4 linked regions of the Coturnix japonica genome follow. The protein of the gene in region 3 purifies or fractionates together with the protein of the main gene of each other region. This does not show direct contact. Links are inferred from orthologs where the notes say so. Each region holds a gene or a part of one and is shown on either strand. Other genes may lie near its edges.

Region 1 (5,288 bases), on a different chromosome or scaffold from region 3:
TTGAGAGAGTAAGTCCTTGAAATCTAAAGAAAAGAACAGGAAGATCCAGTGCGTCAGATCCCTTCCCAGGGAACTTGTGTAAGGCTATACCTGATTTACACAAAAGTGAGTAACTGGGTATCTCTGGAAGCTCTGTAGTTTGTCACAGACAATAATGTATCTGTACAGAAGTACAAAAGAAAAATGATTGTTATATATCTCATTCTTTTCCTTCACTTTTTTTGTTTGTTCGTTTGTTTACTTTGTTATTAATCTACATGGTTGGGCAGCATTGCTGGTTACAATTTTTAATAATAAGTTCCAATTGTGCTCTTTCTCAAAGCGCTTGGGAAAAATTATGTTTTGAAAGATTGTTGATCACTGTAAGTAAGGTCCCACTCCATGAGACTCACAATTCTGAGATGCTGTCACCTCCTGGCAACTGGCTGTAGCTTCTGCAGGCTTCTAATCTCTGTTGTAATAAATACTGTTGGTTATCACATTGTTTGTGGTGTTTTCCTCTGAGGAGCTGGTTGAAAAACAGTCGGCACAACAGACCTCCTTTGCTTCGTCTGAAGAAGTTATTTTTGCTGAAGTATTCTATGGCAGACATCCTGAGGGAGGGGTGACTTGTTGATATTCTTTCATTAGCAGTTGGAGAGACGGTAGGAAACTTAAGAGTAAAGAGTACATAAGAGTAAACTTAAAAGTTAGGACATTCTTGATAATGGGAGCTGATGCCAGTGAAGCTGTTCTCACCTTGTATCTTTAGCAATGCGTATGTAGTATCTGGGAGCCATCTGGAATTCTAATGGCTACATCCCTTTTGATCTTTATAACAAGACAAAGGATCAATGTGAAACACTTTATAATTTATGCTTTTTAAAGAACTTTTAAAATAACTTCTGCTTTTTTTTAATCCAGACTTTTTTTGAGACCTGTGTCAATCTGTAATGCAGGGGTTCTTTATTCAGTCCTGTTTATCTTCCTGAAGTGAGGCTTCTTTACTCCTAATTCCTCACAGTATGCTGACAGTTGCTCTGCTTGCCATTTTCCCTTTCCAAGTAAAAGAGAGAATGTCTGTTCTTAGAATCACAGCTCTGTTCATATGGGCTTCATAAGTAATAAATAGATGTTATGAGCACTATATAAGCGAGAGTGCTGTTTATGGCAGATGTTAGCAGAAGGTGTTACGGGTTTTGCTGCATTTTTATAGCTGATGTTTGGTTAACTGTTGAGGAAACATTCACATTTTTATAGAATTTTCATAAGTAAGACCTTGCTATAATGGAGTTGTTATATTTTGTATGTTGTTTTTTTAAATTTATGGAAATATAGTTTAAATGAAATTGCTGCTTCCTCTAGGAGAAGCTTGATGGAAGTTGGCAGCTGCTCCAGTAGAATTAAAAGAAAACATTACTGGTATTAGTGAAGTGGTGAATCTACAGCATTTGTTTCTTTCTATGTCTCCATGTCAGAGTTCTGTCCTTTCAGACTAACTTCTTTTGTATACTCCACATGAGCAGAATTTAATGTCTAATATAAAATTTACTTGTTTGGTGTTACTTGGGTCTTTTTAATATAGTAATAATAAACATAATATCATAAAATATGAGACATGACTTTTGGAGAAGCCCTTGCACTTGCAAGTAGTTTCAGGAAGAAGCCATACTGTGCGCTGATAATGTGGCTCAGTGAAGGAGAAAATACACTTTCATTTTTTGTGGTTCTGAGCAAAATAAACACACACACCCCAAGGCTGAGTGGCTGTGATGTTTCCGACCAAATTTGATGCCCTCTACCAGAGCTGAGAGCTAGGAAGGATACTTGACGGCTGTACAATTTCCTGTTTCTTCTCTGCAGCATAAGCCGGAGAAAGCAGAGGGGCAATTGCCTCTCCATTCAGAAGGCTATAGTTAGTCAGCTATAATTATTCACCCTGCCTTCCCTTTTCTTCAGCTCATGTCTGGAAGGCAGAACTTTGCACTCAAACAATGCTGGCACTTACGTCTGTTATGTTTTCAGCCAGTGGAAGCATTACCAGCAGGCAGTGAATCACAGGCTTGGCAGGAAGGCGAGGCTGAGTTAAGTCCTGCAGAGGTGAGCTAGAAAGCAGCCAATCAACGCGACGCTGTTTGGGAAAGAAAGTGCTGAGAAGACGGAGGGAGGGCCATTATCTGCTTAGACGGAAACAGTGTTCATTCAGAGGCACGAATGTCTGCCCTTTGATTTGCATCGTCTTTTCCTATTTGTTCAGTTGAACGTCAGTTTCCCAGAGATGTTGATGCCAGCCTCCCCTGGGAAGTTTATCATTCAGTTTTTAGGGTAACCTGGTAATCTGCTGATGCCGGGGTGGGATATCGGCACGTATTAGGAGCCTGCCTGCTCACTGCTGCTTTCTCTCTGCATGGGCTGCTGTAAGTATGTGCCTTTCCATTACCTCTGTAAGGGTTCACTCTTTTCAAAGTTTTTAAAGTTCTGAAAGGTTTGATTGCAGTGGATTTTTAATTTATTTACTTACTCATTTACATTTAACTGTTGGGTAGGTCTGTTGTCTACAACATCTCATACAGGAAACCCTGGAAACTCATGGGAAGTGGAAACAAACTCCACATCCTTTTGAAGATCCAGTTGTGCAGCAAGGAGTCCAGAGCTAGAATGTTCTCAGGAAGTTTTCATTGTTGAGTCCTTGATGGCCATCCTTTTTATTTTGACCCCTAACTTACATGGGCACATGTTCTCTGAAATTATTCAAATGAACCTTTTTCTGATAAAGAGGTGTAAACTTACAGAGGACATGTTTAGTTTATGGTGGTTTCTGTACAGTGTACTAAAATATAGTTGAGATCTTTGGGAATTCCCAAGTACTCATTTGTGTTTCCTTTCTGAAGCCGTGCCTTTGCTCACTGCTGTGCTTGTTCTATATTTGACAACCATGGGAATTCCCCAGTCACATAACGTGGCTGTACTTTTGCAGTTCTCAACGGTAACACGTTCCTAGCTCGATACAAAATTATTCTGCACATATCTTTGGAGCTTGGCCTGGGTCTTTTACATCAGTTGCTCCTGTAGCCACTTTGTGCTAAGGCTGCTCTGTCCAGACATGTCAGTGCAAACAGAACAATCCATGCCTCCTGCAGTCTGCTTACTAGGAGTTTGTTTTAACTGCACATGAGGAGATGTAAACACATAAGCTGCTAAAAGTCTCACTGCATTCACACACCTTCCACCTTTGACCTCATCTATATGCAGGCAGTAACCAAATATCTTCCTTACAGCTTTGAACACTGGTGACTTTTATGACAATAATGTAAATATTAACTGCTGCGTTAAAGGGTAAATATCCAATTTGACAGATTCTTTTCAGTACCAATAATGGGAATAACACATCTCTGAGCTATTGAACACCTCTATAGAGTTTCTTTGTTTCCCAGGGGAGCACTTGATGTAACTGAGTGTGCAAATCTCACCCCATATTTGTCCTGGTGGGGGTGGGAAGAGAGGCTCAGCCCATTGACTGGTTCTGGAAGTCAGCAGTGTCCTCCCAAATTGTCCGCGATGGTATCTTTCCCAAAAATTCCTCCAAGTTCCCATCCCTGTGCTTAAGGAACTGTCATGGAATACACTGCATATTTACTGCAATCCATCTTGGAGGTGTCTACAATGCTTTTCTGCTTTTGAGAGGGGAATGTCCCAGTAACTGACTTCCAGTAATTACTCCACATAATCGATCTTGTGACTACAGTTGCTCAAGACTCACAATATTCAGAAAGAACTGGGGAGGGTATGTGCAGCCTTGTTATGAGGATTAGACCTCAAGAGCTCTGGGTCTGTTCATTATTTATAGGGTAAGATGATTGGCAGAGTCATAGTATGTAGCAGAACTGTGTTATCAGCCCTGAACACAGTCTTGGGTGTAACAGCCAGGCCAAAGGAGGAGGCTGGAGGTGGGAGGAAGCACACCCTCAGATTACTGTCTACATTTTTTTAATTTATAATTTTTTTTGAAAGAGAGAAGTGGTAGGAAGAGGTTCTGTTTTAAAATCAGTGCTGAGTGCAGCTCTCCTGTCAAGGTGTTAACGTTCAGTTTTAGAACCATGAAACTCCAACCTCCCTCCTTCCTCCTGTTGTTATGAAATACTATCTGTGTGTTAGAATTTAGAACAGAGGTGATGCACCATCCCAAGGTCTCACCCCATCATGTCACTTCCTGTGGGCTCGCTCCTGCTGCTGAAAGCCTCCAGCAAATCCCAAGGGCTGGGAAGGGAGTTGGTTCAGTGGCTCGTGCCCATTATTAGGGAACAGGGTCAAATACCTGGACTGAGTGTGCTGCGCTTCCTGTCAGCAGCAAGGGGGCAGCTTGCGAGGAGGAAATGGTGTTCTGAGATTCTTTGTCAGTATTGAAATGACGATGAATTGTTAGTGCCCTTGGACTGTGGAGGTGTGACTGCCGCAAATGCCCAGGCAGTGGGAGAGCTCCTAACCTGCACAGATAAGTTCAGTTTTCTTACGAATCCTTTTCATGCCAGAAATATCCTTGGAATGCATGTGAAGATAATGATGTGATTTGAGCTCAAACTCTTATTGGAGAACTCTGAGGACCTCTTATTTGCTATGCTTAACCACTGAAGTGCCACTCTGGCAACTGATTTTCACGTGTCTCTGTGTGTTTCTTCTGAAGTACTTCAGCTCAGTGGCAAAGCTCTTCCTTTTGCTTCCCCCACGTTTCCGCTTTCTGTTTTTTCTGAGTGGGTGTATGAATTTTATGAAGCAAAAAGGGAAGAATACAAAAAAGGAGGGGGCAGTGTTTATGTAAAACAGCTCAGAATGCTGTTTTGCATGTAATACAAAACCAGCCATGTATATAAAATTCACTTTTTCCTGTCAGTAGCATGCGTGTTTGAAGTGATATGAGAAATCTCTCCACTGGAAAAAGAGCACCCATCTGCCATTGGCTTTTGTTTGTTTGTTTGTTTTTGTTTTGTTTTGTTTTTTAAACAGTAAAGAGAGATGTATTGGTATTTCACGGTAAGAAAAGAAAAGGAAATATGAAGTACAGGGTCGCCCAGGCTGAAGAAAGAAGCTCAGCATTTGGACAGCAGTGACGCCTGTGGAGGGAGATAGAGTATGGGAGGTGGGCGCTGGTGAGCGCTGGCCGGCCCCTGTGCTCCCCCCAGCCGTGCCAAGCGTACAGCGGGATTTTCTACTTCTTCAGCCTCTATTTTTTTTTTTTTTTTTTTAAGCAGTGCTCTGTAACAGTGAACGGAAACGGCCTCAGCTGTGTCAGAAAGCTCCTCTCTGGCAGACAA
Region 2 (4,774 bases), on a different chromosome or scaffold from region 3:
TCCAACAAAAAACGGTGCTTAACAAAACCTTTTTCTAGGCAGAACCCCAAGTGTGCCTGGGAATCCATGTGCAGAAACTGTGTCTGGGCTTCCAGCAAGGTGTGAAAGCATTTATTTTCACTAGAAATAAAAAATGCCGACCTCTGGGTGCCCTGTGTGATTGCTCTCCTCGCTCCCTCAGTGGAGAATTGAGGATTGACATGTAGACACAGACCCCGCTGTCCAGCTGGAGTCTGAATTGGTGCTGCTCCCACAGGGCCAGGGAGAGGAGAGAGGGATGTGAGAGGAGCCAGGGAGAGCCGTGCTGCCCCTGTGCTGTGATGGGGCACACACTGCTCCTGTGTGCCACTGGGGGCAGGGATAACTGATGAGTGCCAGTGAGCGGCTTTTATTTTGCTGGCTGACACTTTTATGGCAGTTTGATTGTTTGGTTTGGCCATATAGATATATGTATATATACATACATATGTAAAAATTTGTATGGAAGAATAGTTAGCGTGAAGTTTCATCTTAGTTTGAAACGCCTGGCGTCTATATCCAACGATAAAGAACACAGACATTGGCTGAAAGCTCAGTATTTTGTAATTCTGGCTGCAGAAACATTTTCCATGGTAGATAAAAGTGAGCCAGAAGAGCAATAAATCTGCACTCATCAGGACAGTAATAATTACATGGGTCACCTGATTTTTTTTAATGTATGTTTGTGCCATGGGGTTGTAGCTACAAGTGCTGTTGGAGCGAAGCCTCAGAGCCCCAAAACCACCCTGCAGGGTGCAGGGCCTTGCGGTGCCTGGGCTGATGGACACAGAGAGACATGCAGAGGGGCCATGAGCCCATGGGGGCTTCTGTGCCTCCAATGGGGAGTGGGCAGCTTTGGGATGGTCACTGCGGGTGCTCCCCATGGTCTGAGCCCTGCAATGTGTGTGCCCATGTTCTTCCATTTCACTGGCCTGGTTCCACGCAGCGGGCTCTGGCTCGGGCAGGGCAGGCTTTTAATAGCAATTGGAGGAGAGATTAAAGTGCCATCAGACAGTGTGTCAGGGATCAGGGATGGAACAGCCACTCGTTTTTATTTACAGTAACGCGATTTATGTGTTGTCACAGCAGCCTGGCAGACATCACCCCCTGGTTTTTCATGTTCCCATGCAGAGAGGCAGCACCATTCTCAGCCACTGCAACATCCAATGTGGTCCAGCACAGTGTCCTGTGTCCCCTCCTCTAATGGGGGACAAGGCACGGGGCAGCGGCTCTATTACAAGCAGGACCTGACATGGGGGGGGGGAGCTGCCATGCTGGGATGGCAGTGTGCTGTGGTATGTGGAGGGGATGGAGTGCACCGCTGGCCCTAAAATAACAGGGAGTTCTCAGGGGAATGGCCTCTAGGGGTTGGTAGGAGCAGGTGCTGGTATGCAGCTGGGAAAAGGGAGGGGTTTTGGCCTTGTTTGACCTTCAGTGCTCACAGTTGTGCTTACTGTCCCAAACCCACCTGAAAAGCTGTCAGCTCGGGGCTTGTGACTGAGGGATCGTCCCAAGAGCTGTCTGAAATGCCAGGGGTTTGGCTTGCAGCAGGATCTCATTTAACTGCAGTTTCTTACGCAGTGATGCTGTGCTCAGCTGTGTTGCTGTGCTCAGTTTGCTGTTCTGCGGTGGAGCCGTCCGCTGGCAGTCCCACGTCCTGCTACTTTCAGGCATTTTGAGTTCCTCGATCATTTTTCTTCCTCCAGTTCCTGCATTTCTTTATGTTTCTGTAACCCCTTGCTGTCAGGGCTTTACCAAATGAGCTGTATTGCTGTATTAAACACCTGCACCCTTCCCTGGCTCAGGCAAGCAGCACACTCCTTTCCTATGAGAAATAAAGGAGCACTGATGCCATCTCCTACTGGTATAATCCACAGAAGTACAGCAACGCCATGAAACTACAAAGGCAGGGGCAGCTTGTGGTGCTTGCAACACCAGATCAGAACAGGGCCCTGCCCTGGCTGAGAGGTGCGGCGTTAGGGAGGGGAGCGATGCTTTATCTCCCCAGCACGCAGGTCAGAGCCACGCCATGGGTGCTGCTGTATGACAGGTCACCCCCAGCTGCTGGCTGTCCCTGTCCCAGCAGTGCACAGAGAAATCTGTCAGGTCATGGGAACCGTTAAAAGGCAGCTGTGCTAGAAGGGAACTGTGACTTTGTGAAATAGAGCCTGAGCCCTAAGGAAATTAACCACACTTACTGAACACCAGCAGTGCTAGCCCAAAGCGTGGCTGAGGTGTCACTCACAAACCCATCCTGTATGTAATTTTAGCCACGAATTTGCAAATGAGGAGTGGGAAATCATCAAAATATTTGTAGGACTGAGAGAAGAAAAGTTAAATACATTGCCTGCGCGGTCCTAGGAAATACTAGGAAAGCCTTGGTTTAATTTTTTAATAGAAATATTTTAATTTTAGGAGCAAGTCCCCGTTCCTGTGTATCACCCAACCCCTAGCCAGACCCGGCTGGCAACGCAGCTGACAGAGGAAGAGCAGATCCGAATAGCGCAAAGGATAGGCCTTATCCAGCACCTACCGAAGGGAGTCTACGATCCTGGAAGAGACGGCTCTGAGAAGAAGATCAGAGAGTAAGTTCCACAGAGCTGCTGTGCACGTCCACTGGTCTGTGCTGTTCTCATGGGAAACCTCATCTGGTCTTTCTGTTTTTGCCTTACTTTCAGGGAGTGTAATTTGATGCAGCTTTCTTCCATGCAGAAGCCTCTTTGTTTTATCCTTCTTCACTTTTCTGCTATTTTCCCTCATGTGTGTAATTTATGCCCTTTTCTTCCTCCCTTTATGGGAAAATAATTCCATGCTTCTGCTTCTTCATCTTCATGGCTCCCATCTCCTGTTTCCAGTTCTGTGCAGGCTGCTGTGCTGTCCCATCCCTGGCTGCAGGCTTCCTGCTAATGCTGTGGTCAGGGGCTCCCAGTATGAAGAAAACACCAAGAAATCCAGTGCTGGGTGGAGCCAGCACTGATGTAACAAAGAAATCTTGCCATATCTGTCAGTAATAACAGCAGTTTGCATGATAGTCATATCTGACAGATACATTGCTTTTCATTTCCAGTGTGCTGCCATCACTGTAACTATGTCTTGTTTCCCCAGGTGCGTTATTTGTATGATGGACTTTGTGTATGGGGACCCTATCCGATTTCTGCCATGCATGCACATCTACCACCTGGACTGTATAGATGACTGGTTGATGAGATCCTTTACCTGTCCATCCTGCATGGAGCCAGTGGATGCAGCACTGCTTTCATCATACGAGACTAACTGAGCCAGGGTTTCTCCGTGAACCTTCAAGGAGACCATCCACGTCAATGGGTTTGATCCTTTTGTCATTCAGCCCAAAGAGCCAGAAATTAGGAATTAAGGTCATGCACAAAACATACATTTCCTAATGAATAAAAAATACTCCTGAATGGCTGCAAATATTGGGAAAAAAAAAAAAAAGCATAGTATTTTAGAGACTATAGAAAAAGTAGGTTGTTATTTTTAATGTAAAGCCTTGACCCAGCGTTGTCTTTAATGTTTGTTCTTACACCCGTATATAGGAATTGTAAAGTGTTACAGCAACTGTAAATGTTTAAACTGCGTGTATCCAATTTTATTAGCAGTAAGATAAGAGTATTTTTTTTTTCCTAAATAAAGTAACTTTTTTTTTTCCTGATTCTTTTCACAAGTCCTGGCATTTGGGTCAAGGCTTTATTAAAATCTACATTTTATAACACTGGCACAAAGAAATAGTTTTAAGCTTGTTTGCACAGTTCTTTTTTTTTCTTCCTTTCTTTTTTCTTTTTCCCTCCACTGGAGATGGAATTCATTGCCTTAGGTCTTTTTAATAGTGTAATGTTATTGTTGGGCTGGCTCTATGCTTGAAAACCAGTTTATTTATAACCTGTTACAAGTGCTATATTTTGTTTGCAGTTAGGAATATGCAGACTTCAAAGTGATCTCCTAGCTTGTAAGCAAACTGAGATGCATTATCCCTTTTCTGCAAGTGATGGTGGATATAAAGATACGGAATGGGTCCTGCAACTGAGAGTATGATACCATGGCTGTTAGAACTCACTTCAGTTTGCACTAAACAAATCTTTACATGTGGATGTCTACCTGAACTTGACCAAGGTAAAAGTGGGCCAAGATGGACAGTAAATAAGCAGTGAAGCTGCCATAATTGGAAACAAAGAAATTGGAACTAAAATAGCGTTAGCAGCAATTACTTATTTTATCTTTTTTCTCCCTAAAAAATGGTTGCCTTGAATTGCAGCAGACGGATACTGCATCTCTTGTTCTTGTAGTTCTTAGGTTTCAGAAGTTAAGAATAAACATACTGTATCTCAGTCTCCTGTATTACATGTATCTGTTAAGCCCTGCTGGCTGACACATCAGTCCACCATGCAGATAAGAAATCTTACCAAGCAAAGAAAAAGTATTTTGTTCTGCGCATAAATGCAGCATCTAAATGAATGCAGATCGTCACAGCAGCAATGGAGGGGGAAAATAGAACTGCTGGAGTCACAGTGACAACATTAGCTCATTTCTGCAGCAAAATTATGTGCTTATTAAGAGGTGGTTGCAAGATTGTAGCTGTAAAGAACTTTTATCCATTTAGGGTGGGTTTTTTTCCTTTTTCTTTCTTAACGTGCCCTGCAGTGACTTGTATACATTCAGTGCAGCGCTGATCCATTTTGAAGTCTTGGTCTTGCAGAATGAGATGCAAATCTCACATAACCACAGCGAATCAGGGAACGTT
Region 3 (5,318 bases):
TTGTACCACCTCTATTTCATTTATAGCACCTGACACAATAAGCATAAAGTAACCCTAAAGTGAAGCCCTATAACCAGCACCAACCCTCAAGAGAAAGGGCCACCAGTATTTGGTGCCCGAGGCACGTGGAGGAATGGCTGTCAGGCCCTAAGGAAAGGCAGAACCTCACAGACCCTGTTAGGTAGCAGAGCACCAGGGAGCTGGCTGTGTGCAGAACTGAGCCTGCTGCAAGCAAGGTCAGCTTGGTGAAACTCCACAAGGGTGCTACCATCTGGCCCGGTTATACAAGGGAATAAATCCCTGCTGCTCAAAGCATCCCAAGCCTCCACCTGCCTAGAGTTAAGGGCTGACCACTGCTTCTAATAGGAGAACTGACACATGGAAAGTCAGGCCTGTGGAACAGCAATGGACAGACAGAAGTTACTGATGTTATGAAAATACCCAGGAAGTTTTCAGGCCACTCATCATGCCATCGGATGGGGATTGCTACAGACTCCAGACAGCATGCTACGCGGAGAGAATTTTAGCTTACGCAACTAAGATAAAAGGGCAGATCTGTATTACCCACTTTAAAATGAGTTCAAAGACCTGCTCACAACTTACCATTAGTTTTCAAAGGCACGAGTCTCCTGACCTCCATACACCAGTTCAGTTTCCTGTGGCGCTCCAGTGAAGTCTGGGTGGCTTGGTCAGTCAGGGCTTTCTGAAGCGTTTCCCGGAATTGAGGGCAAAACTGGCACATTCTGAACATTTCTATAGTGTATCTGTGCATAGTCCTGAAGTGGTGAATTATTCCACTGGGGGGTTTGACCAGATCTTCAGGTGTCCTCTCTCTAATCTTCACAGCTTTCAGCATATTGCTCTGATACAAAGCCTGAGGAAGGATGTGCTGGCCAGCCATGTTCCTAGACAAAAATCTGAAATGAAAAAGAAAAGTGTTCTCTTACTGACTTGTTAATTGCCCTTGCTCTGCAAGGTTTGCACAGACTGAGAATACACTTCCATGTGTGGAATTCTAGTTGCTGTTTTGCCTGTTAGTACACAGAGCGAATGACATCCACTGAGACTTATACCAGTTCTTATTGTTAACATTTACCTCTGTCAGCCTCTCTGCATTACACAGAGATAACTACTGAAGAGCTTATTCCACCCATTTATTGTGATCATTCATTGAACTCCTGAAGAGAGTTCATTCTTCACTAAGACGATTACATCATTGTACAAAAAAAAGGCACTTAAATGAAAGCAAGGAAAGAAAAAGGCAAGATCAAGGGAAGGGAAAACTATCTTGGAAACTTGACTAATTGATAATTGCACACTGTAACCACCATATGAACCTGCTGAACTTTCAGCACATTCCAAACTCTTGTTTTGATGACATGCCAAAAAAACAGATAATGTCCATTTCAGATTTCCACAGCTCATGCATTCTGATAAGTGATGCTGGTATGATATAAAAAGAGCCTGGATATCACACAGTGTGCTAGATTCTGTCCCATACTTACATTGGCTGGAGATGGTAAAAGAGGTATTAGTGGCAGATCAAGCACTCAGGGCCAGACCTGTGCTACTCTTCTTGCGGCTCCTTCTGTTTTGTGAGCAGAATAGCACTGCAGAGGTGCTCGTGCAATGTGTGGGGGAACAAGCTGCGGTGCCACTATTACTCAGCGGTAAGTCAACATCGCTGAAAAAGCATTTCCACTTGGCTCAAAAGCCCCAATATTTTTCCATAGTGGGACAAGCAGCATTTACTGCCCTGCATCCCTTTCTTCCATACCTCTGGCCTGATGGGCTACAGCAGGAAGAACAACAACAAAAAGCCAACCAACCCCATAACCTCGAAGTATCTGTAGTCTGAAATACTCATTCTGAGCACACTAACTCTGTGTCTCGCTGCAGCCAGATGCAGGGACCACATTCACACATCCCTCCTGTGCACTGCAGTAACACCATGAGCTATTATTTTTAGATGGAGAGACTACGTGCTGTCCATGTAGACTGCTGCTCTGCTCACACAACCAGATTTCTATCAAGCGAAATGAAGGTCTGCATACCTAACATTTAGAATCCAGTTGGTCACAGCAGGAGTGAGGATTACAAATTTAGGGACAAATACTAAGTCATACGTATAAATCAAGACCTTGATACATGCCATGCCAAGTATAGGGCGACCAGAAACAAGAGAAAGCTTCCTAACAGCTGCTTCTCATCTATCCCTAACCAATATACTTTCACACACGCCACTCACATAAACCATCCATATATTTAAATATGGGATTGAGGAATGACATATAAACATATTAACCTCTTTAATAACCACGTCTCTGCTTTGCTCGGAGACGGCCAGAGTACTGAATTCCTAAGTTACGTAAGTAGAGTCATTGAGTCAATGAGGTTTTTTTACCCAAATAAAGGCTTATCAGATGATTAATCACTACTGGCACGGACCCTTGAAGTGGTTATTTCCAGCTTTAGGTAACAAAAAGTACTGAGTCTACAGAAGCATTCACTGGAACCGTAAATTCAATGTTCTGTTCTATTCTACGGGCACATTTTCCCCTCCAAAAGTGGAAACTACTGTCTGTGGCAGTTACCTCAAACATCAATCAAGGCAACATCAGAGCAACCCTGACTATGAGAAACAAAGCAATGAAGCAGCTCAGCAGCCACAGAAGCTGACAACTCAAAGCACATTAAGGCTGTACTTGCTAACACCACACTGTGCTTCATTGCATGGCCACCCTACATGGCCTTTAAACATGTAATTACTGAGCTCCCAGGAAAAGAAAAAAGTTGCAAACAGTGCAGCACATAGTTCCCCAGCACATAATATGGAAGATGCTGGTCTTGGGGAACCCTGTGTTCCGTTCTCCAGCTCTGTCCCCTAACCGAAGAAGCCAATGGTAAACCCCTGCCGGCCGAGCACTGCAACGAGCCTAAAAGCCTCCTGCAGCCTCCAGCCTCCGTCCCTCGGAGGTGCGGGTGGCAGCAGCCCCAGCCAGGCCTCGCAGCCGGCCGCCCCCCGCTCTACCTGCAACCCCGGCCCACCGCCAGTCAACAGAGGGCACAATTCCACCGCTCGCCGCGGGACTGCTAACAAAACCTCCACAATACAGTCGGGCAGCCTCTCTCCCAGCCCGAGCATTGCTCACCTCTCGCCCGGCGGGCTCCTCCAGGCGCGGGCTCGATCCGCCGCTAAATGCCGCTCAGCAGCTGGGCCGCGGCGGGGGCACACAGTCAGGCTCGACCGCCATCAACACCCAGCCGGCAGCAGGCCCGGGTTGACCTGGCCGCTCTCGCGTCCGCCGCCCCCTCCCCTCTCCGGAGCTGCTGCCGCCGCTGCCTGCGCTGCGGAATGAAGGGCTGAGCTCAGCCTCTTGTTTTCTTTCCCCTTTCTGTTTCAGCGCATGGACAGGAAAAAAAAAAAAAAAAAAAAAAGACAACAACAAAAAAAAACCCCAGCGGGGATTTCCACCGTCAGCGCTTGGGACTTTCCGACATGTGACAACAGCAGCGCAGGCATCGCTGGCTCCACGTAGGGCCGGCAGGGGGCACCGAAGCGCTCCCTCCGCTTACAACCTCCCTGGGCAGCCTGTTCCAGGGCCTAACCACTCTCCTAGTAAAGAACTTCCCCCTAACATCCAACCTAAATCTTCCCTCTTTTAACTTAAAACCATTTCCCTGTGTCTGCTACTGTCAGCCCTTTCAAAGAGTTTACTCCCCTCCTGGGAGTAAGTTCCCTTCAGGTATTGAAAGGCTGCAATGAGGTCACCCCACAACCTTCTCTTCTCCAGGCTAAACAAACCCTCAGCCTGTAACAGGTAACAGGTAACCTGTAACAGGTTCTCATCCAGCCCTGCTCAAGGCAGGCAAGGGGCAGAACAGGCTGAGGCTATGGAGGACTTCATCCTGGAGCCACTGGCCAGTTGTGGCATCTCATACCTTTAATGGCTGCGGGCATGTAATTCGCACCTTTAAATAGCACCCTAAAGCCTGTGCAATGGAAAAAGTCTGAATAAAGCACTTAGGGCCTCTTAATAAAGCATACAGATGTGATCTCAATTGCAAATGGGCAGCTCCTTGCCTGCAAGACTTGTAACCTGAAGGCAGGCAGAAATATAATACAAAAAAGTCTTTTTTCAGTCCTAAGAGGCTTTCTCCAGATGCTGAACGCCTGCCAATTCCAGAGCACCCACAGGTCCCACTGGTTGGATGAGAAGCTGGAGTTGCCCCACACCTTAAAATCAGGCCTGTCACAGAACAGGCGGACCTGGAAAGAGCTCATACCTGAGCTTCCTTGCCTCCATTAGCATCAGCTGGCTCAGCTCGTGCCCTCATGGCATCTGTGCAACTCTGTGATGGCATGCTCCTTCTCACTGCTTAAAGCCCTGTGTTTGGCTCTGTGTGGTCCGCTGCCCTTCTATCTCTGCCTAGGAATACATAGGAAGGCTCTGCGCTTACGGATAGTCTGAGGGCTGACTGATATCCAAGGAGGCTGCGTGCCGGAGGAACTGGGTCTGAGTGATTACTTACATAACTGGGGCTGCACCCGGGGTGTGGTTTACCCAGTGGATATTGTCTGCAACAGAGAAGTCCGTTTAAAAAAGAACCTGCTATTCCCTGTTCCTGGTTGTTTTTCTTTGTAACCCTGATGTGTGCTGAGGTACTGGGATACTGAAGTGATCTGATTAGAAGCCAGCTATATATATGTATTTATGTATGTATGCATACGCACGCACATGTATATATAACTTAACCAAGCCATTTTCCCCCAGTGATTCGATGAGAGGTCACTCATTCAGTTTTACAGAGAGCATTTAAAGTGATGGTCAGTTTCACCATGGAGTGGGAATAAGCAGTTAGGGTAAGAAATGTAAAACGAGCTGATTTATATGTTACTTCGTGTGTAAAACTGCAGCAAATAGATTAATAAGTGGTTCTAGACCCTTCTGTGGTTTGCTTGTTTTTTGGTTTTGTTTGTTTTTGAGAGGTGTTGTTGTTATAACAACAAGCATAATAAAAGGAAAATAAGTGTGAGTAAAACGTTCTGCAGGCAATAGCTGTGAGCCTATGAGGGAAATACCTATGAGCCTATGAGGAAAAACTGAAAGGACAACAGATTTTTTGTTATTCTAAGCTCTGAACATATTCAATTACTGTCTACACCTTGATAAACTAGATGCTGATTGCACGTAGCTAAGACTGATGTTTATCATGCAGGTCTGAGCAGGATAGTAGGAATTCATTTGATGAGTTAGCACAGCACAAAATGAAGCTCAGTCCTATCAACCAGATCTCCCAGGTTATATAGCAATACA
Region 4 (5,498 bases), on a different chromosome or scaffold from region 3:
ACCATGGATTCGGTCATCACGGTTCATTCCTTTCTCCTTGGCCAAAGTTTCATCAAAACCCTTCTCAGCCTCTTCATATGTATGCTTGGGGAAAAGGAAAAAAAATTAATCTCAGTGATCATAACAGAGGTAAAGCCAGTGGAAAAACAGTAATTCATACTGCTAGCCAAAAATCATCTCCAAGTTGTAGAATCTGCTGCAGAATATTCTCTACAGCACTAATCAAACAGCCATGGTACAAACTTGATCCATAGCTGCACCACGTTTTTGAGCACAAGGAAGCAGAGTTCACAATATTTAGCTGCGCTACCCAAATTGTGATTGATACTAGGAAGCCTTAACCCAAGTGACAACAGCAGCAAAGCTGAACTTCAGACAAAGCTTAACTCTTCTAAAACAGCTGTTCCAAAATAAAGTGATTTTCTTACTCTGTACCACTGAGGTTTCTGCATTTCTTTTGGTTCCCGCTGAGTGGTGAGGATAAGGCAGGCTCTTAAGGCAGAAACAGCTCCTTCTCGAATGGCCTGTTTGGGATCCCACACAGCCACAAAAATATTGTCAAAGAACGGCTGTACTTGTTGAAAGAAGAAGGTAGGCACACTGATTGCCAACTCACGCAGTACAAGAACCTGGAGGTGGGGAAAGAAACAGTAAATCTGTGAAAATGAGCACCCATACACAAACCTCAATACCTAGAATGCAGCATCCTTTATTTAAACTGTTAGTGCCCAGGAGCCTGAGCTGTAACCAGTTCTGTCCACATTTACGGATCACAGCATAAGGGCGTCTTCAACCTTGTTTAGTCACAAGGAATTCATAAGGTAGAGGTAAGGAAACACTGAATCTGTTACAAGAGCATCACAGATCCTTACACTTGCACAGCTTTTCCCAGCTTTCTGAGAACCTCTCCTATCACTATTAAACCAAACCATCCCACTCCAAGACAGGTGAAAACAAAAAAATAAATAAATAAGAATCACTTACAGCTGCGTGTCTTCGACCTTCATTCCTGTCAGCCCCCAGCCATTCCAGAGCACGTTTCACCTCAAACTCCACATACTCAGCTGTGAAGGTGTCACCAGCCATTGCAAGCCGTCCGATAGCCTTGGAGGCCATTTCCATTACAACTGGGTCATTGGATGGCAAAAGGTTCCTCAGATAGTTTGCAAACCTGCCAATACGGGTGGCGTTACCTCCTTCAACACCAATGAGGCTGGCTGTAGAGAAAAGGAGAAGTGCTGTAGGTTCTCCCTAAGGATCAGTGGAGCAGACAGCAGCTAATCCCTAATTTGGAATTAGTATCCCCTATCCAAGCCAGTACCTTTCAACAGCACTAAAGTCACAGACACAATTTTAAAGCAATACTGTCAGCTTAAAAATCAGATGTTGTCAAGAACAATTTCTCTAGCTATGAGGCTTCCGCTGTCTCCAGACTTGTTGGGATTGGATGATTATGTCTGTGAAGGTAACCCATAGGCAACCCCTATTTGGTAGTTAGAGAAGTAATTGCTACAATACAAGCTACTCATCCAGAAAGCAAAGTATTTATACAAGCTGATTTTCTTAACAATTAAAATACAGGCAGCTCTGCCACATCACAGAAAGCACAACCAGAGCAACTGATGGAGCACCTGATCAGAATTAAGGCAAAAGCTACATGAGTCTCTCCCCTGGATGAGCAGGGCTGCCAACCACTATATCAGAGAGCACAGATTGTTCTGTTGAGCTCAGGAACAGAATTTTCATGTGCTCAGCACTCACTCATGTTTGATGTTTGACTCCCAGAAGAGCTCACTGCCCATTAAGCACCAGGTTTTCAGCCACTCTCAGCACTCAGCAGCTCCCACGCTGACACTAACAGGCAGAATTTCTGAGCCCAGCAGCAAGCACACACCCAGCGTACTGAGCAGTTGGACATAAGGCTCTGACTGCACAAGTTCATTCGTTTGGAAAATCTGTCCCAATTGATCAAGTACCTGAAGAGAAAACTCAAAGGCATAAAACACTTTTACTCACCTATAGCCAAAATGCCACCCTTCCTTTCATTTGCATCAGAGCTAGAGACCAGTTCAAAAATGTGATGGTTCAGCTGATCATAAAACCTGGTGGACTCCTCCTGGCTCATCTGTAACAGGAAAAGATTCATATAGGCCTTCAGCATTCTCCCTTCTCTTGCTATTTCCAAAACCTCCATAGAGACAATGCTCCTTAGGCTACACTAATAGAAAGAAATTAAATCAACCACACATTATAAACAGTTTCTCTTCTTTATGCCCTTGACCTGTTGAGTTTATTTATCCTGGTGCTTGACCATCCATTGCTCACCTCACCTCTCCTACATGCTTGGACAAAGGTAAGCTCCATGTTATGCCCCACCTCCTCACTAATAACAGTTTCTATGTTCCAAAAACACCCATCCCCAGAGTACCCAGCCAGTGCCCTATGCTCATTTGATAGACAGATCATTCGTTTTTTGCAGCACTCACTTCACGGAGCTCCATGGTGACATAATGCTGCAGGTCCTTGGCAGCTTTTGCCCTTGTTTCTTCACTGCGACTCTTCAAGCCATTGGCAAATTGTTGGAGAATAGACACAGTGCCTGACATGGTGCTGTTATGCCGGGGCTTGGGGCATCAAGTCCTGTAAGTTCTTCAGAGACACGGGATTTTTAGTACTTTCAGTTACTGAAATCTCTGAGCTTCTTAACTCTGCCCCTACAGCCTTTTTCTAACATATATCCCATTGCATGCAAGGATGCTGTGCCAGACAGTACAAACAATACAGCCAACCATTACCTTCCCCAAGGCACTACAGCCTCATGATAAAACCACATCACACCATAACATCTCCCACAGCCCACTTCCTCCCTGCTTCCTCCAGCACCAAAACACACTCTGGTAGCCCAGATGCACCAGGCTGCAAGACACACCACAGCCAAAGAGGCACCACAATAAGACAAAGTTTTACAGTCACCCCATAACAAGGCAGAGTCCTTCCCACCGGTGCCATGATGGCATCTGATTCCTCTGTGAGCATTTTTAACCAAGTTTCTCCACAGAAATCCCCATGTTCTATGAACACTCGGTGCCTGGCAAGCATTACATTCCTCAGGAGGTATTTAGAGACGAGATGGCCACTTATAGCAACAGCAGTCACTGCAGTGGGATGTTTGCTATTGTAACACACATCAGAAGTCCCCCACAAGTGGGGCCTGATCTTGTTGATGGTTATTTTTTGAGGGGGAAGGGGGGGTGGGGGGGGTTGATAAAGAACATTTTAAAGGTTTCAAAGCATCAAATCACATAAACCCAAGCTGCCCACTTGACAGGAGGGCCCACAGCACCACCACGCACCAAAGCTTCTATTTTTTTCCCCCCTATATCCCCACACAGCCACAAACCCTATGAAGAACACAATGCGAGGTGACCTCGGGCTTCTCAGGACGAGGGGACCCTGTGAGGAGCCCCGTCACCAATGAGGGAGGCGACAGGCCCGAGCTCCAAGAGCCGGGAACGAGGGAAGGCTGAGGCGCCGGCCTGCGAGGAGGGAGGGCCGTGATGGCGGAACCGAGCAGGGAGCGAGGAGTGAAGGGATGGAGGGTGAAGGGAGGATGGATGAAGGGAGGCTCCCGAACGACACTCACCTCCACCGCCAGCTCCCCCGCTCCGGGCCCCGGCAGCCTCCCCCGCGCCTACCGGACCGGCGAGACGCTATGGACCAATAGGCTGCTAGAGAATGTTTGATAGGTACTGCATCCAGCCAATAGGAATAGGAGAAAAGGGAAGGGGCGCTCCTAGCCCCGCCTCCCCCGCTGAGGAGCCACCAGAGCGGCCGGCGGGGCGCTGCCAGGCGGTGACTGAGAGCGATGGCGGCGCGATGGGGCGATAACGAGTTGTGCTGAGCTGTGCTGTGCTGTGCTGAGCTGTGCTGTGCTGTGCTGTGTTGTGCTGTGTTGGTTCAGCTGCTGAGCAGCTCTAGGCCCGCCCGCAGCCGGCTGCTCCCCGAGAGGCCGAGCGTGTTGTTGTACGCGTGCGCCAACGCCCGGTGTGTGCCCGAAATGGGGCCGTGTGGGGCTGAGGGCGGGCGGGGCGGCTCTGAGCTCTCAGCTCTGAGCTCTGAGCTCTCATCAAACACTACGGCACCTACAGCGGGGATGGGAGGCGCCGCAGGGCAGCACTTAGTGCTTCCATCGCAGCCCGATGTGGCGCTACGTGTCGCCGTTGTGCCGCACGGAGCGGAACCCTCGGCTCGGGGCTGAGTGCCGGGGGGGGCGGTGCGTTGTTGCGTTGGTGCCCGTTGCCGTTCGGGTTCTACCTCAGGCCCGGCCATGGCGGCGGTGCGGCCCGACCGACACTCCGGGCCCTGACTCCTGGCCCTTGTCCTTGCAGGGAGCTGTGAGAGCATGGGGCCGGCCGAGCTGGTGCAGAAGATCAGCATTAACGCCGAGAGGAACGAGTGCGGGCCGGGGGCTGAGCGCGGCCCCGCCGGCGGCTGGAGGCAGAAGTGCGCGGCCTATGTGCTGGCACTGCGGCCATGGAGCTTCAGCGCTTCCCTCACCCCCGTGGCTCTGGGCAGCGCGTTGGCCTACAGGGCACAGGGAGCGTTGGACCCGCGCCTGCTGGTGGGCAGCGCCGTGGTCGTACTGGCCGTGCACGGGGCCGGTAACCTGGTGAACACGTATTACGACTTCTCCAAAGGCATCGATCACAAGAAGAGCGATGACAGGACGTTGGTGGACCAGATCTTGGAACCTCAGGACGTGGTGCGGTTCGGGGTGTTCCTGTACACCGTGGGCTGTGTCTGCGCTGCTGGGCTCTATGTTGTCTCAACGCTGAAGCTGGAGCACCTGGCCCTGATTTACTTCGGGGGGCTGTCCAGCTCCTTCCTCTATACTGGAGGTAAGCACCGGGCCCTGTTTGCTTTCAGTCTGAATGTGCCAGTGAGCTGACTTGTCAGGGGAGATCCAAGTGATCTAATAAGCTGCTTGGAAAATATATGATGGTATTCCCTGAAATGCTGGTTCATAGCCTTGCCATTGATTACAGTGGGAAGGTGTGAGAAAGGATGCATCAAGTTCAGCTGGAAAGTAGCATTGAGACATTGCTACTGTAAGGCAGTTGATCAGGAAAACCTCAAGTTGGAGTGTTAGAAGGCAGTTCTTTAATAGCAGTGCTGAATGCATGGGGGTAATCCCCCTATCAGCACAGCTTGCATGCTGGCAGAAGATCCTTAGTTAATATGCATTACATGAGGAGATTTCTAAGAGATGTGTTACATACACAAGTTTCCCAGAATTATGTGTTCAGTGGCTGATTCCAAGCAGCATCTTCTATTTCCTTGGTATAAAGACTCAGTAAAACTTCCTTATCTCCTGGTTCAGAGACACAGCTCTTCCTGTTATCAGAACAAAAACTGCAGGGCAGGTCCATGTCTATTCATCAACGAACCCTAGCAAGTGTAGCAACACTGTTATAACTTGTTTCAACGCTGTTAGAGCT

The links.
Region 1: the proteins of TNFAIP3 (region 3) and caspase-8-like purify together in Homo sapiens (affinity purification with western blotting; 3 studies listed by BioGRID and IntAct, with this or other methods). This does not show direct contact. The link is inferred for Coturnix japonica from reciprocal best matches to the Homo sapiens genes TNFAIP3 and CASP8.
Region 2: the proteins of TNFAIP3 (region 3) and RNF11 purify together in Homo sapiens (affinity purification with western blotting; 3 studies listed by BioGRID and IntAct, with this or other methods). This does not show direct contact. The link is inferred for Coturnix japonica from reciprocal best matches to the Homo sapiens genes TNFAIP3 and RNF11.
Region 4: the proteins of TNFAIP3 (region 3) and MTOR purify together in Homo sapiens (affinity purification with western blotting, with the first as the bait; 3 studies listed by BioGRID). This does not show direct contact. The link is inferred for Coturnix japonica from reciprocal best matches to the Homo sapiens genes TNFAIP3 and MTOR.

Annotation. Positions count from the first base shown.
Region 1 is NC_029522.1:9,931,693-9,936,980, forward strand, and holds the start of caspase-8-like, read left to right. Parts: upstream 1-2,123; 5' UTR 2,124-2,386; coding exon 2,387-2,396; intron 2,397-2,450; exon of another isoform or gene 2,451-5,113; intron 5,114-5,225; exon of another isoform or gene 5,226-5,288. UniProt on the Homo sapiens protein: Thiol protease that plays a key role in programmed cell death by acting as a molecular switch for apoptosis, necroptosis and pyroptosis, and is required to prevent tissue damage during embryonic development and adulthood.
Region 2 is NC_029523.1:21,429,354-21,434,127, forward strand, and holds part of RNF11 (RING finger protein 11), read left to right. Parts: intron 1-2,433; coding exon 2,434-2,603; intron 2,604-3,123; coding exon 3,124-3,295; 3' UTR 3,296-4,774. UniProt on the Homo sapiens protein: Essential component of a ubiquitin-editing protein complex, comprising also TNFAIP3, ITCH and TAX1BP1, that ensures the transient nature of inflammatory signaling pathways. Promotes the association of TNFAIP3 to RIPK1 after TNF stimulation.
Region 3 is NC_029518.1:49,374,138-49,379,455, forward strand, and holds the start of TNFAIP3 (tumor necrosis factor alpha-induced protein 3), read right to left. Parts: upstream 3,528-5,318; 5' UTR 3,153-3,527; intron 918-3,152; 5' UTR 902-917; coding exon 604-901; intron 1-603. UniProt on the Homo sapiens protein: Ubiquitin-editing enzyme that contains both ubiquitin ligase and deubiquitinase activities.
Region 4 is NC_029536.1:3,615,558-3,621,055, forward strand, and holds the start of MTOR (serine/threonine-protein kinase mTOR), read right to left. Parts: upstream 3,760-5,498; 5' UTR 3,644-3,759; intron 2,650-3,643; 5' UTR 2,607-2,649; coding exon 2,487-2,606; intron 2,126-2,486; coding exon 2,017-2,125; intron 1,218-2,016; coding exon 985-1,217; intron 630-984; coding exon 429-629; intron 85-428; coding exon 1-84. Other genes in the region: UBIAD1 (ubiA prenyltransferase domain-containing protein 1), read left to right, coding at 4,403-4,898. UniProt on the Homo sapiens protein: Serine/threonine protein kinase which is a central regulator of cellular metabolism, growth and survival in response to hormones, growth factors, nutrients, energy and stress signals.